3 linked regions of the Arabidopsis thaliana genome follow. The protein of the gene in region 3 interacts with the protein of the main gene of each other region in a pairwise test. Each region holds a gene or a part of one and is shown on either strand. Other genes may lie near its edges.

Region 1 (5,183 bases), on a different chromosome or scaffold from region 3:
CGGTTAATACTCGGATTCGAAGAACTGAACCAGAACCTATCCGAAATATCGGTTTGGGTCTGTTTTGGATCCTCTAGAACATTTGATTGGGTCTTGTCTTCATATATTTTCGGTATTGGTTCAAAAAGGATAATACCTGATAAATTAACGGGAACTCGAATATATTTGAAGCCTAACTAAACTCATGATCTCCTTTAACCTATATTGCCTGGTTTGATTGGGAACATCGGGTTTTTCTTTTCGAGTAGTTTGGATAAATTTGAGTATAAAGTAACCAACTTGAACTGTATCCGATAATTTTCAATTCACCCATATCAACTATCCGAACTGATATGAACCCGAAGGTTACCAAACCAATCCCGAACAAAATTTTAAAATACCCAAATAGTACCTCGATTCCTAGTACGAAACCAAAATCCAAATACTCGAGTCGAACCCAAACCGGTACCCGAATGTGCAAGCCTAATATATGTGCATTCTCTCATTCCTTTGGCTTGGCAATTGGTTTCTATATTTGCATGGACACTTTTATCATCCAAGTCTTCCTTTCTCATTTGACAACGTTTGCTCGTAAAAAAAACTCACTTTGGTTACCATTGTTAAACACAAAAAAAGAAATCTAATCTTTTGTGTTAACTTAAAGACTTGATAATTGTTTTACTTTTTTTTTTACTTATTATCTATCACTCGGTCTATTCTAAAGAGAAAGCATGAGAATGTCGTCAACGTAGGCACTTTGTATGAGGTTATCTTTATACCACGTAAAGTTCAATCAAGGATCCTTTTCTTCCACTCTTGTGTTTCTCTTTTGACTTCTTCAAAATAGGACCAAAATTTATAATATTAAGCTAGAAATTTAGCAATTTAAATTTTAAGTTTTCACTATATTGTTCCCTTTTAGACTAATTTACTTTTTAATCATTTCTAAGCTAAGCACAATGGTCCTGTCGCAGAATGGAACTTCACGATTCTAATGTGTTACAATATATTCATAGTAGTAATACTAACCATATTCATTTCAATTAAGAGAAAAGAAGAAGGGTCTACATGGTACGGCATGAACAAAAAAGCTTGAGCTGTCCATAATTTACACACTTGCATTACATTCATACAAAATGCTAAATTACAAATTTTACGCACAGCTAATAACCCTAAAGTTTAAAAGAAAATACAAACAAGTTAAAATGAATAAAAATGAATTGAATCCTAATTTTTCACGATAAAATTGAAGCCCAATCTATCTCATAAGAAGGACACTTGCCGAGCATGAAATTTTCATTCCATGGCATCTCTGGCTCTTGGCACATCTCCTGCACCATAACATCCGAAGTCGGTGAACCCGACCCATCACTTTCACCCGACCCGGAATGTTGTTGTGGCGCTGACGGCTGCTCAGCTGAAGAAGCCGCGGCTTTAGCTCGTTTCCTCGACGTCCTCTCCGTTTTGCCCGGCTGATTCTTCGGCTCAGCTAATATGGCTTCTAGTTTAGCGTCTACGGCAGCTTGAATAGGACCATATTCGCCGGTATCAGACGGAGACGAGCCGGTTTGGTATCGGAGAGCTGGGAAGTTAAGCCGAGCCGAGTCACCACGAAGCTTAAACGCGGCGCGATCATAAGCCAACGCGGCTTCTTCAGCCGTGTCGAATGTTCCGAGCCAAAGTCGGGTTCGGTTCCTGGGTAAACGGATCTCCGCGACCCATTTTCCCCAATGTCTTTGCCTCACTCCTCTATAGAGCTTAGCCGGTTTTGAAACCGAACCCGAACTCGGACCCGGTTGGGTCATAAAACCCGGTTGGCTCGGCTCAATGAAGTTAAGCATGCAAGTGTTGTTGTCTTGGTGAGTGTAAGTGATAGTGTTTTGGTAATGGAACTGAGATTGGTAGTTTTCGGGTTGTTGAAGATCCGACCCGAATGAAGATGGATAGGTCATGGATCCAGAATAAATATCCGGGTAAGAGGTTGTGGAATGTGAAGGGAATAAAGATGCATGAGGATTATAGTAAGAAGAAGAAGAAAATAGGTCGTTTGGGGCAGACGCAAACGCATCGTTTGAGGACGCAAACGCAGGATTTGAAGCAGACGTGGAAGCACTTTTGTAAAAAGGTTGAAGTGCTTCCATAAGCTCGCCGCCGTGGCCACCACCGAAGAGATCCGCCATCGGAGTTTCCTGAAATACAAAAAAAAATGTACTACAAAAAACAAGATTATATAAAATTATAATTAAAAAATGGTTGAAGAAATAAAACCTGTCTTTTTAGAAAAAATTCAAAGACTGGTTTTTTGGTTTATACAGAAATAAAAGTGATCAACGAGGTTTGAAATAAGCAACCTCCATAGATCAAAACTAAAATAAATTTATCAACAAAAAAAGAAATAAAATAAGAGGATCAAAACTTGAGGGAACTAAAAAATGCCCATGAAGTTGATCAACTCTATAAAAGAATGAAAGAATATTAATTGACAGAAAAAATCATAATATTTTTGATGGATATCGTTTTCTTGAAAACACTTTTCAAATACAATTTTAAACAAAAGTTTGTCGTTTTAGATGAGTTTTGGCAAAATATAAACTCATAAAGCAACACTTCATAAGAAAATCGTGATTTGTGTTTTCTCAAGAAAGACGACTGATGAATAGACAGGACATGGAAGAGTTTTTTTCTTTTGGTTTGAAGATGAAACGAAGCAAAGAAAGCAAGAAGAGAATAAACCCTAATTTCACTCAAATTTTAATCTCTCAATTTTTTTTTTCTTCTCTCACTCACACTCACTCTCTCTCACACACACAAACACTCTCTCTTTTGGAAGATGCTCTCAACCTCACCTTGGTAATACCCACCCAACTCTCACCGTTTATATAGAGGGCTTGTTCAATGAAGATAGATTAAAATATTGTTTGTACATCAATAATCCTAAAATAATGTACTTGACTTTTAAAAAAACGTATTTGACTTTAAAAAAATGTATTTGACTCCCACTATATAAGATACATATTTGATCCAAATATATATAAAAAAAGAAGTATAAAAAATAATTGAATAAAAACTGAATATAAATGTTGTAACTAGTGAAATGTTTCGAAGAATAGTTATGAATCCCTTGTTCAAAAAGTCGGCTGATCGGATAGAGTCTACCGCAATTTTGTCCAAATCGAAAAGATTAATCGTTGATCTGATTTATTCATCATAGATCCGCTTAAACCTGTCTAGAGGATGCCTAGTCCAAAACTTTTTTTTCATTTTTTTTTATTTTTTAAGATAAACATTTAAAAATATCCAACTTTTTAAATATCCAAATTTAAAACATCAAACTTATGTTCTAATTTGTATGAAAAAATCATAAATTTGAACTTAAAATCTTGTTTTCATGTGTTTAATACAATTCTAAAAACAATGTTATATAATTCTCTTAATTGTAATGGAGGAATATGTTTTAAAAATATTAAATAACCCTAAACTTAATTTCCGATTAATTTTCGTATAATCTCTGATTTTTTTGTTAGGTGATAGACCTATCCTCATCGTTCGACTAGCGCCTAACGATTTTTTGAGCAAGGATTATGACAAAGTGTTTTGGGTCAAAACCCACATAAACATTTATACGGTTGAATTTGTTCTTCTTGGTAGCGAGTACGGACGAACTACGGAGTACTGTGGGCAGAGCTGTTCTAGACAGAAGCATATCAAATATGAACTTGCGGACTTGCGTAAGCATAAGTACAACGGTTATTTTGGAAACAAATCAATACTTGAATTGGTTATATTGTTTGATGATAATTATTGTAGAGTTTGAATATTAACATTCGCACGACACTTGGACTCGTACGTGGAGACTGAAGATTCCATGCAGAGCAGAAGTTAAAGGTGCATTTGTTCTTAGCCAAAGAAACCAGGTCACATGTCCTTAGTGCCACAATTCGCATTTTTTGCCATTTTTGCGGTGTTTACGTTTTTTCCTTCTTTTTGCAACAGTCGTTGAAAATTAGTTGAGAAAAAAAGTGTTAACATCCTTCTGAGATCGATTAGTACTTCTACTATACCATTAAGTTACTATGCTTATACAAATAGATTTATCGAAAAACATTTAAGACCAATTGTTATGCAAGTATATTCAATTTTTATTATACTCCTTCCGTTTCACTTTAAGATGTTTTAGAGAAATTATTTTGTTTTATTAAGTGATATTTTCAAATTTCTACGCAAAAATATAAATATATTTGAAATGTTAAGAAAAATTATTGTTATAATAAAAATGTTTGAAATATATACTTCTAAATGTTTTGCATTTGAATTTTCTCCGAACTTAAATGGATGATGTTATGAGTAAAATGAAAGAGTGGCTTCATAAAATTACCACTAACACACTTCATTAACAAAAAAACGTTTTCTAAAATAGTGTTTTCTCTTTTCAATTCAGTAATTTTGTTGAAACTAAATTTGACAATTTTAGCATCTTAATAATGCTCGAAACCTCCAACCGTCAACAAATACCGTTGGAACAATAACAGTGATATAATTAAGTGATAATTTAATTTAATGATGAAATAATACCTTCTTCAATAAGTGATTTAAGTGATAATTAAGTTGCAAGATAGAAGAGCCACGTGAGAACGAAAGCATCACGTGATCTCAGGCGCAATTTGCTGCAAGTGGGAAATTGGACTTTACGTTGGCGTCGCCTCGAAATTAAGACTCACGCGTGTGATTTTTTGTCCCAATTAATCTCTCTTTTCTTTTGCTTACACACCATTTTTAACCTAAAACATCAATAATAGTACAATTCACAAATCTTATATTTACGGACGGTTGCGGTGCTAACTTTTAAAATCAATAATAGACATTTCAAAAGTTTCGGACCATTCTAAACCATTCAAATCGATGAATTTTAAAAGTTCTTTTTTGTAAACATTTGCGATTATAGACAGTTAGCAAAAAAGAAAAAGAACAAAAAAAAGTCATTTAAACAACAAATAAATAAATATTATCAAATCATATATATATTAATGTTCATTCTCAAAATTTTAAATACTTTTTCCTACTAATATCAGTGTATCAATCCCAACTGAAGAAAGATAATAAATAAAAGTAGTATTGTAATAATATTGTCAATTTGGAAGATTTATGAATTAGTTTGTCATATTTCTATGAAATTTACAAATAGAGCTGTGCTTATAAAAAAGAGG
Region 2 (4,650 bases), on a different chromosome or scaffold from region 3:
CTGTTCTTAAAATGGGTCATGCTTTGTCGAAAGCTCGAGACTTTGTCAACTCAGAGATGAAAAGTTCAGGCGAGGAGAGTGGGTTTCGTGAAGCGCTTGAAGATTTTATTCAAAATGCTGAAGGAAGCATCATGTCCATACTCGAGGAAGAGAAGAGAATAATGGCTTTGGTGAAAAGTACAGGGGACTATTTCCATGGCAAAGCAGGAAAAGACGAAGGGTTGCGTTTGTTTGTGATTGTGCGCGATTTTCTGATAATCTTAGATAAATCCTGCAAAGAAGTCAGAGAAGCACGAGGAAGACCCGTAAGGATGGCCAGAAAACAAGGCTCAACAGCCTCAGCATCTTCTGAAACTCCAAGACAAACGCCTTCATTAGATCCTAGGCAGAAGCTGTTTCCAGCTATTACAGAGAGACGCGTGGATCAGTCTAGTTCAGATTCAGACTAAAAAGTACAAATCTTTGGTTTCGTTACCTGTTAGGACATAATTCATCTGCTGTTTTGCTGAGAGCTTATCTTTTCCTGCTGTGAGTGTAATGGCATTAACCCTCAAGACATGTCAGGTTTTAGTCACTGATTATGAGTTTTTCAGATGTAATTTAAAGAGGCATAGACACTGTCACTCACTTGTACCAATTTTTTTCACATTTAGTCTTAGAAATACTTTCTTTTCATATTTTTTCAATCTTGTTGGCCATAGAATAATAATCCTTTGTGTTTTTTTCTTTCTTGTACTATTACTATCAACAACAAAGAAAATCTTTATACTTCTACAAAGTGCAGTGTTTGCTTGTTGAATAAGGCATCAGCATTTTTGAAAGACATTATCATTCATATTTCGCAAAATACTTTCATATATTCACAAAAACAGAAACAACATGTCGAAACAGAAACGGAAAGAAACAAATCCCTAAAGGAATTAAAAAAAGCAAAGATACAAAAAGTGAAAACATCTAGCTAGTTATTAGGTTATTAGATCTAAAGCCAAAAGAGAGACGTGTTCTATATCATTGTGTTAAAAGACCTAATCTTCCTGAGGCTTTGAAGCACCAGCCTTCTTAGGGAGAAGGAGATTGTGGATGTTAGGCATCACTCCTCCATTAGCAATCGTCACATCTCCAAGAAGCTTGCTTAGCTCCTCATCGTTTCTGACCGCAAGCTGAATGTGACGAGGAACAATACGTGTCTTCTTGTTGTCTCTTGCTGCGTTTCCAGCTAATTCAAGAACCTGAACAAATTCAAAACACACAATTCATGATCAAACTTTCCAAATTTGAGAACTTTAACAACTCAAATCAAATTGGTTACCATAATTGAAAAAAATTTAGAATCTTGCGAGAAAACTACAACGATTCATATGATCTCGATTACCATCAACCAATCAGAACAAACCCAAAATTAGGTCAATTACAGAACTACAACAATTCAATTCAAACACGAATCTAATTCAATTTTTGCATGTCAAATTCGGAAAATGTAAGAACCCTAGATTCGTAATCGATCACGCAAAAACAGAGTCAGACGAATAAGATCGGAAACGGAATGGGAAAGAGAGAAAAGACGATGTAATTTTACCTCGGCGGCCAAATATTCGAGAACGGCGGCGAGATAAACCGGAGCACCGGCACCAACACGTTCGGCGTATTTACCGGCTTTTAAGAAACGAGCGATACGACCCACCGGGAATTGAAGACCGGCTTTGCTACTCCGAGATGTAGCTTTCTTCGCCCCACCGGATCCAAGAGTTTTTCCACGACCAGCCATTTTCAACAACAACAACCCACAAAGAGCGCAAAAAAATCGAATTTTTTTCTTGACGAAATTAACAGAGAGAAATCTGATTGTTGTTTATATATGTTGGAGGATTAAGTTATTTGACCAATAAGAATAGAGTACGCGGATCGAAGAGGTTTAAACCGTTGATTATAATTTAATGAATGGCTACGATCTGAAGTTTTTTCTCCCACCGCTTGAACTTTTGCAGTTTTTGTTGGTTTCTTCTGGACGAGGGAATTTCCAAATTTTCCATATAAACCTCAATTTATTTTATGCCCTTGAAAATAATATTATGGGCTTGGAACGCTGAACAAATCGAATTGAGTTTACGAAGTAAATGGGCCGCTTATGGGTTTAGAACTCGCCCACCAAACCCCAGCGAAGAAAATGATTTAACATAGTCACTTTTACTAATTCTATTGTGTTGTTCATATTTTTATTGAACAACCATTGTGGAATTTTATCACTATATAAATTTGATGAATTACTAATCATATAAATAACGTTGGATTACTAAAAATGTCACTATATAAAAATGTTAAAGTGAGAAAAAGAACATGCATGAAAGAGAAGAAGTTTTAAGAGTAAATTGTGTTCACCAAATCTATTTCAATATTTATGGATCCAAGTCATACGGAAATTAAGATATATCATAGCTAGATTGGGGCAGACCAGTCAATGTGGTGTGGTCGAAATGATGGTCCTGTTGGTTTTAGGTTTTAGGGCAAAACTGGGTAACCCAGAAGAAGGACATGATCTATCAACATGTTTCAAAATTCAATTTCTAATTTAATGTCTTTCCTTTTGAATTCAATATGGCTATAACGACACCCACACCTACTTCCATTATCTACCCTTTGCGATATCTACAATTCGTAATAAATGCACTTTCAAAGTTTGACAAACTCACAATTCAGATTAGAGTTATTGTGTTTTGATCATTAACGAACTGTTATTGTCATCCATTCCTTCATGTTTTGAAGTCGATATGATGTAAATACTACAGTGTTACTTTATTAGGAACAGAGATAATGCAAAAATATTGATGTACTATCGTTGCGGTTTTACTTTCGTTTATACAAATAAATCTTATATTTCACCGTCCGCTCGTATAAACATATTATGTCAACTATTGTTATTTATCAAACTAGAGTGATAAAGTTACATGCATGGTGTAATAATAAGAAGTTTAGTATAAATTTTAATGGCTTGTTAAAATGTATATTGATTACTGTCTTTCCAAGAAATGTCAGAATGTTTCATATGCTCTTATGGGGCATTTAAGAGTGAATTGACAGATGCAAGCAGAAAGAAATGAAATCAATGTTCTTTTATTCAATTTTATTTCCTATAGCCATGCTATTAATTCATTAGTAATTCTCATTTAGTTGTCACTGACCAACAATTTGTCATCATTATTGCTTGGATTAACGTATTTATGAATAGTGAGTGAATACATATGTAGTTTTAGCCTGACTAGGTTTCAGACATCATAGAAGAATAATCAACTCTTTCACCATATAATCTCAAAGGTAAATTTAGAAATAAAATATTTGTTTCTTCTTGCGAGTAAAAGTACTTATTAGACCGGTGAACCTGCTCACGCACAGTCTCATTGATTTATGATCGTATTAACTGTAATTAAATTCTGTAAGAGAAAGTTAAAGGAAATTCCAAAAGTTTAGAAGTATGACATGAATTCAAGATTCTCTACACGGTAACTATAGGAAAAAAAGATCTTTTAAAAACCAAAATCATTGAATTAATCACGATTTATGGCTAATGTTAATTTTGTTAATGAATGCAAGTTCATGAAATTTAGCTTGTTTTTTCTTTTCTTATTACCGTGCATTAAATCAAGTTTACCACTAAAAAGATTCCAATATTCAGTTAATGTGATAATTCGTAAATATGGACTAGTCTATAAATTACTATTTCATGATTTATGAACATGTTGTGAAGTCTTTTCAGTTTTTACACTTTTAAGAATGGCAAAACAGTAAGTGAAAGAAACATTCTCTCGTGTTATTACTTATTACATCGGTGAGTTGAGACATCGTAGACCTCCTTCAGATTCATTTGCTCGTACATGCCTTCTAGAAAGAAAAGAAACTTGGTTTTTTAATATATCTCATAAGACAAAATCCACTTATTATTACCTATCATCCGGCGACAATATTTAATTTATATTTATTATAGCATCACTTCCAAAAATATTCAGAAGAAGAAGATAGAGAGAAAGAAAGAGAGAGATATCGACAACAACAATGGAAGATTCAAGCAAAAAAAGCCAAAAGAAGAAGAAGAACAAAAGCAAGAACAACATCCCAACTGTTTGGTTCTCACTCAAGAAATCCCTCCACTGTAAATCCGAACCATCTGATGTCCACGACCCAATATCCACCACTAAACAGCAACAACACCTCTCCACAATCTCCACCAAGAAAATCTCCGGCATATCATCCGGCGGAGCCGCCGTATGCGGTGGTGGTTTATCAGGATGTTCAAGATCAATAGCAAATCTCAAAGACGTAATCCATGGAAGCAAAAGACATTTCGAGAAACCACCAATAAGTAGTCCTCGTTCTATTGGAAGCAATGAGTTTCTAAATCCTATAACTCATGAAGTTATTCTTAGTAACTCAACTTGTGAGCTTAAGATCACTGGTGTCGGAGACATGGCTTCACCTGTCGGAGCAGCGGATTCCGGCGGAGGTGGCGGTGGAGGAAATGGTCGGTCTACGACTTATGTAGGGATGCTTAGACCAGGAACACCGATGCATTATCTTAACCATTCAGCTTCTTACAGGAGCCAAACAAGAAAGGGTTCGTTTGCTTTGTCGGAGAGAGATCGAGGAGGAGGAGGAGGAGGA
Region 3 (6,631 bases):
ACACGTATAATATATCTATGAGCAAACAAATCACCTATACCTATATATTTATCTCCTCTATAAACCCAAACTCTTCAATCTTTTGGGACGATTCACACCGGAAAAAAAAAAGCTGAAAATCGAGTAGGAGCTAGGAAAGAGGTGAAGAATGTAAATGTGATCATGCGAGATGTAAAGGAGGACCAACTTCTCGGTTTCTGAGTGAACCAGCAATCTCGTCGGCGATGGACAAACATGTTAAAATCCAGCCGCTCAGAGCAAACCAAACCGTTTTCGTCAAAAGCATCGCCATTTCCAAAGGCATCGCCATAATCTCTCACTCTCTCAGTTTTGTGAGCTCAATTCATTTGGCTGAAGAGAAGAAAAATCACTGGAAAAATTGGGAGATCCAATGGTGGAATTTTTACGGTAAAGGAGATGAAATATGAAAGAATAATCAGGCACGTGGGACACGAGAGGATCTTTCCAGCAATAAGACATCGCCACGTGTGGGTTCTGTTCACCAGCCGTGTCTCTTTCTGGCCAGTTAGGACAGCGTTAGGGGACACGTCACTGTTCGACCAATAAAAAGAGAAGATCGCAACCCAAACTTTATCAACCCGACCCAGTGGTTGATTACTTGGTACTATATGTTATGCAAATTTTGATAGTGTGTTTATTTTGTTTTTAAATACCAAAATAAATGTCATTTACGAGCTAGCTGACATTTCCCCAACGAACTAATAATTATTCCCTTATAATTGGACATATTTTGTTTCCTTTCATATTTATAATTAAACTTTTGTATTTTTCCTATCGTTAGTTGATAGTACTTCACAAAACAACAGAAATATTGCATAAAAAGGAGGCATAATGAATATTACTCATGTGATTGGAAATAAATAATTATGTAAAATAATTTGATGCAACAAACATCACAGAAGCTTCCTTTTGTCACATTTTTTTTTCTTTTTAGATAGTTCTTGGAATGTTATCTCTAATCAAAATTAGGGCTAATGATTTTGCTTTCTTTATAGTTAAACGTTAATATTATTGTCCAGTTTTGAAATACTGAAAAAAACGAGAGAGTACACAAAAAAATAAGAAAGAGAAAATAAAAAAGTGATGGTCCAATCGGAGCGGCTTATTGGGTCATAGTGGGCTCGGAAGGCAATGGCCCGTAATCCTTCCACCGTCAAGAGCGGGAGGTGGACGCTGCTCTGTGAAACCAGCCTCACGCGGTCTCCCCCACTCTAGAAGACATGAGACCCGAGCCTTCGCTCGAAGCCCATGCCTCAACTCCCAACTTGGAATGGGCGGGCCAGAATATAGCCCAACCCGAACCCGGCCCAATGAGATCGACCCAACGTCCCATCCCCTTATTGTCTCCACTTGGATCACAAGCCCGCGTTACTGAGTTCGACGTACAATACTCGCTACCTTCCCTATTATATACAACAACAAAACGTTTTGTTTTTCCGATGTGGGACAAATAGCTCTCTTAATACAGTTTTCGTTTCCAAAGGGAACAAATCATAAAAATTTCATCTTCAATCTCAGGAATTATATCTTTGAAGCTTGTTCGTATCAAAAGGCCAAAACTTTCGACCACTTCCAATTTTTGATAAGATTGGATTTAGATCTTTGATGCTGTTACACCCACAAGATGAGAGAATTTTACAATTCGTTTAATGGTTCTTAAGCTAGTAAATGTAGCTGTTAGTTTTGATAAGATTCATTACTAATTCTCGAAAGCTTCAATCTTTGCAATAGTTTTGGATTCTTAAGCTAGTAGCAAGAAACTTCCCAAAAATCTTGTGGGTTTAACAGCATGAAAAATAAAAGAAAAAAACGAAGAAAGCTAATCTAGGGGAGAGAAGTAAATTGACAGAGAATAAAACAACTACTGTGTCCGAGACCATCCTGGTTTTGAGCCATTGTTAGTGTGCTATCACCTGAGTGAAAAGAGAGAACAACCAAGAAACAAGTAAGATAAGAGATGACAAAAGCTATAGTATGAAACCACATTTCTAGTGTTGCTACTTACCACTATCTGAATGGTTTGAAGCTTCTGATTGAATAGGTATTCGATTTAGTGGATCTCCTTGTGTCTGCATTGTCTCTTTTTCCTGATGATAACGATGTTGCTGCGGTATTACTCCTAGCAGTCCGTTGTTGTTTGCTTCATATTCAAGAGTTAGCAGATCTTCTACTGAGAGATTCTGTTGGCATTCTCCATATAGGTCTTGTAGTGGCTTCTCGGGTTGCGTTAGTCCTCCTTGCAGTCCGTTGTTGTTTGCTTCAGATGCAAGAGTTAGCAGATCTTCTACTGAGAGATTCTGTTGGCATTCTCCATATAGGTCTTGTAGTGGCTTCTCGGGTTGCGTTAGTCCTCCTTCAGACCGAGGTTGTGATATCATTGTATTTAGGACGTGATCGATCAGTAGAAACCACTTCTTCCATTGCTTTTCTCTTATTACTACTCAACATTGGTTCAAGTTGTTCGGATTCAATTTCTTGGTGGAGAGGCAAGATTTCAATCACTGATGACTCTTCTTCTTCTTCTTCTATCTCCGGTTTAGACACCACAATCTCTTCTATGGCAACTGGTTTCTCACTTTCTTTCTTCAACTTCGTTTTCATCATATGAGGTTTCAACTTGGTAAGATCAGCTAACTTCACTGGTTTCAAGAAAAACTCTTCAGCTCCTTCTTCCAAACATCTGTTGGAAGAAACCACCACAATTTTGTAGATAGTTCAAAGACTTATTCAAACCAAAGAATCGAATAATAGTATCCACTTGCCAATTCTCAAATCAATAATACTCAAATTAACTTTAAAGAAACAGAGCTCTTACCTGGAGATTCTTGCAGGAACGTTCTCAGATGACATTATAACTACAGGTATACTTCTAAACGCCGCTGATTCCTATACACAACAATCATGTAGATTACTCAGAAGCAAATCAATTGTTCTTTTTTATCAAACAATGGCATAAAGGAAAGTTTTTGAGTGGGAAAATATTCCAAAATGAGATTTTCAATTTCTCCATTGACATTCTCATTTGGAAAAGAAAACTAAAGTAAAAAACTTTATTTCTTTTTCTGGAAACGAATTTAGCCAGAGATGGAAAAGACAGTAACCAAATTGAGAAGAAATACCTTAACTTTCTTGAGCAAATCATAACCAGTCATGCCAGGCATACAGTAATCTGTAATTATTAGATTTATTTCAACTTCCTGCTCAAAAGCCACAAATTACAAACAAATCTCAATATAACCATTCATTGCAAATTTCGAAAGTAACCAACTTTGAATCATGTAAAAGATCAAAAACTGAACCTGATGAATTTGTGGCGATGTAGAGAGTGCATTTGGGTCGTTGTCATCTACTCTTAAACCCAGAAATTCCAGAGCTTTAGAGCCTGAATCAACTGTAGTTACTGCAAAACATAAGAACAAGAACCAAATAAAGAAACCTTTTTTTCAGTATATCTTCCTTCTCTTTCTCCAATACATATAGCTTAAAGATTATGGCTTTTTCGAATCTACCTTGACATGAAGACTTTTGAAGCAATCTCTCAATCATTTTCCGATCAAAAAGACTATCATCAACAGCTAAAACATGGAACTTTGACTCTGTTTCCATTACCATTGTAGATATTCAATCGAAAAAAACTAAGATCTGAATCTAAAATAGACAAACCCAGATGCAAAGTTTTCAACTTTGTGTTTTGTTTTGATATCCTTCTTTAGAAAGAGATTAAAAAAAAAACGGTTTTTTTTTCTCTACCGGAAATGTTGAGAGTTCTGAATGAGCTTGTAGGAGAGAAGAGGAGAAATAAAAGGGGGTTTGTATTTTTCAACCCAAATCTCGGATAGTGAGAGAGAGACGAATAAAAAGGAAATAAGACTAATTGGATCTAGCTTTGGTTTACGGAGTAAGCAAGTTTTTTAAATGATGAAAGTAATTTCCAAGGAGACAACGAGAGAAAGAAATTTAAAAAAAAAAAAGACTTTGATAATGGATAAAATAAATAATGGAAAGAAATCTATATGAAGATTTTAAAGGATTTGTTTAGCCCACCAAAGACTTTTTTTTTTTTTAAGATAAGAGGATGAGGGATTTAATAATGTGTATACTACCACAACCACATGCATTGCTATTGGTGGGTTTTAACAGCCATTTGAAAATATATATATATAGAAAAAACCGTTCATTGTCAAAAAGAATTGTAGTTTAACGTTTAAAAAAACAAAAAAACTTATACATTAGTTAGCAAGATGTTCGAAAACAAGATGTTTTAAAAGAGATTAAATAATAACGAGTTTTTGTGATGACAGTATTTTTTATTTTCGATTTTAATATATGTTTATTGAGCTGCTGGGATGTCACCGATCAAATAATCGTTGAACCTAATTAAGAATTTGCTTATAATTTTGAATGTTAAGAGTGGTTTAAATCCCAAAAAAAAAAAAAAGGAATAGAATTTTGAATGTTTTTACGGTGGATCGTTGATGTATTTACAATATTCAATTTGTTTTTATTTATACTCTGCACAAACATTCGAAATAATTTGTAATGGTCCTGATTGAAAGAGTGACTAGTGGAAAAGATTTTCGTCGGACCACAACATCGTCCCTATTTCTATTTAGCAGTTTATGTTGTGGGGTTTGTGTATTCATATGCGAGTCGATGTGACGTGTTTTGCTGCGTATCATTTACTTATTGGATATAATTTTTATGTTTTCTTTTTCTCACTTTTAGTACAAATGTGGTTGGTCTCTGGTGTAATACTCAATCAGTAAATTAGATTGATAAATCTTTTTTTTTGTGAAGTTAAATTGGTAAATCTTAATTATGATGATTGGTAACATAAAAATTATATGACCAGTCAAAGTTTTTAGTGGTTGGAGATAAATAAGAAGAGATGAATGTATTATTTAGAGAGGAAAATAGTAGTATAACGGTAATTTAGTTGTAAGTTCCCATGCTACAAGTATCTCTTGTTAATGGGATTTGTTAAAAATCCACAATATAAAATATATAGTATAAATGATGTTTTATATTCTAAGTATTATAGATACTATTTTTAAATGCTTTTACATCTACGAACAGTATTAAATAAAAAAAATGTAACCTAAATGTGAAATAGTGTTTTGCGCTCATCGTATTATACTTGGCGATCAGATTCGTTGGCAAAAGAATAAGAAAATTTACTAAATAGTTAGGTAGTGTGGTAGTGGCAAAGACATGGCAATGTTCACTTGATTCTCTGCCAAAGATTTGCCTCCCATGGTCATGCCCATCATCACCACTATCATCATCAATCATCATCTTTATATGGACGACACGTATCCAAAGTATGGTAGACACATGAAAAGTCCGTCCAATAACCAATACTCTCTTATGGGTCTAGTGGGTTCCATATTGCTCTCTCACTTTCCACATTTCCTATCTCTTTTCTTTTTCTTTCTATACAGTCAATTTTTGTTGTTTTATTTGTTATCCGCAGCAATATGACAATGTATAAGACCAGGGGCGGACACACGTTGGTCTTGGGTGGGGCATGTGCCCGATACTCAATTATATAAATCTTATATAAGTTTGCATTATGTAATTAAAAATGTATGTAGTGTAGTGGTATTTTACTTAATGGTGCCCCACATTAACCCAAGTTCAAGCCTTGCTATGTCTTTTTATTGATTTTTTATAATTGTGCTCCATATAAAATTATTTCCTGGATCCGCCATTGTATAAGACTATGGCTTTTATTTTTGTTTGTTGACATACCATTGGCTATGATACAAGGATCCTAGTAATCTCAATTTCTTAAACTAATATTGCACGTTTCACCTTTTTACCGCCACAAAATTATGTGTACAAAACTAGCTAGTGTACCACCAAAACATATATGTACCACCATACTGAAAAACTATCGGAAAAAAGAATTGAGTCCAGCAATCGTAGAGCTCAAGAAGCAAGAGTCAAAGGATCATGGCGTTGACTATAAAAGCGATTTGATGAATTAATGGAGTGATCATGAAATTGTAATGCACGATGTGTCGGGAAGACATGCTTTCAATTTCAAAAAAACCCTAAAAAAAGAGTCAAATAGATCTTCCATCGAGATCTTGTCTCATGAAACTTCAGCACAACCGTCCATGACTCTTTGATGATAGAGGACCCCTCCTCCTCTTCAACACATTCATAACTTCATCATCACAACTTTTGACCCTACAATTTTACAAAATGGACAAATTTGAAGAACAAGACGTCTATTAACAAGTGCGGTAAATGAAGGCATTAAGTGAGTCGATGTAAATCGGATCACACATTGTGGTGGATAAAATATTTTTAATAATCTTTAGAAATGGTTAGATAATATAACTGACGGTGACCAGCACCTTCCCCTGTCTTCGGGCTTTTTTGGCCTTCATGGACTCATGGTAGCAGCTCTCAATTTTTGTGTGTATTTCTCTTGTGTCTCAATATTTTCAACAGTAAAAAGAAAAACATTTTTTTTTCTTATTTAACCAGAAATCAACCGGTTGGTGGAATCTTTTTGTGTCTTTATCAGATTGTCATGACTTAATGAGTCGTATTCTGAGCTCACTAATTTGACGACGATAAAAACGTTTTCCGATTATTT

Evidence for each region.
Region 1: the proteins of RR3 (region 3) and AT1G36060 interact in a two-hybrid assay, tested with the Arabidopsis thaliana proteins (one large-scale study listed by BioGRID).
Region 2: the proteins of RR3 (region 3) and RAT5 interact in a two-hybrid assay, tested with the Arabidopsis thaliana proteins (one large-scale study listed by BioGRID).

The regions. Positions count from the first base shown.
Region 1 is NC_003070.9:13,453,504-13,458,686, forward strand, and holds AT1G36060 (Integrase-type DNA-binding superfamily protein), read right to left. Parts: upstream 2,834-5,183; 5' UTR 2,160-2,833; coding exon 1,215-2,159; 3' UTR 993-1,214; downstream 1-992. Other genes in the region: AT1G36050 (Endoplasmic reticulum vesicle transporter protein), read left to right, coding at 1-180.
Region 2 is NC_003076.8:22,193,655-22,198,304, reverse strand, and holds RAT5 (Histone superfamily protein), read right to left. Parts: upstream 2,019-4,650; 5' UTR 1,766-2,018; coding exon 1,577-1,765; intron 1,230-1,576; coding exon 1,026-1,229; 3' UTR 813-1,025; downstream 1-812. Other genes in the region: Fh5 (formin homology5), read left to right, coding at 1-449; AT5G54630 (zinc finger protein-like protein), read left to right, coding at 4,045-4,650. UniProt on the Arabidopsis thaliana protein: Core component of nucleosome. Nucleosomes wrap and compact DNA into chromatin, limiting DNA accessibility to the cellular machineries which require DNA as a template.
Region 3 is NC_003071.7:17,219,282-17,225,912, reverse strand, and holds RR3 (response regulator 3), read right to left. Parts: upstream 4,074-6,631; 5' UTR 3,634-4,073; coding exon 3,531-3,633; intron 3,422-3,530; coding exon 3,321-3,421; intron 3,219-3,320; coding exon 3,141-3,218; intron 2,908-3,140; coding exon 2,837-2,907; intron 2,702-2,836; coding exon 2,377-2,701; 3' UTR 2,027-2,376; intron 1,935-2,026; 3' UTR 1,033-1,934; downstream 1-1,032. UniProt on the Arabidopsis thaliana protein: Functions as a response regulator involved in His-to-Asp phosphorelay signal transduction system. Phosphorylation of the Asp residue in the receiver domain activates the ability of the protein to promote the transcription of target genes.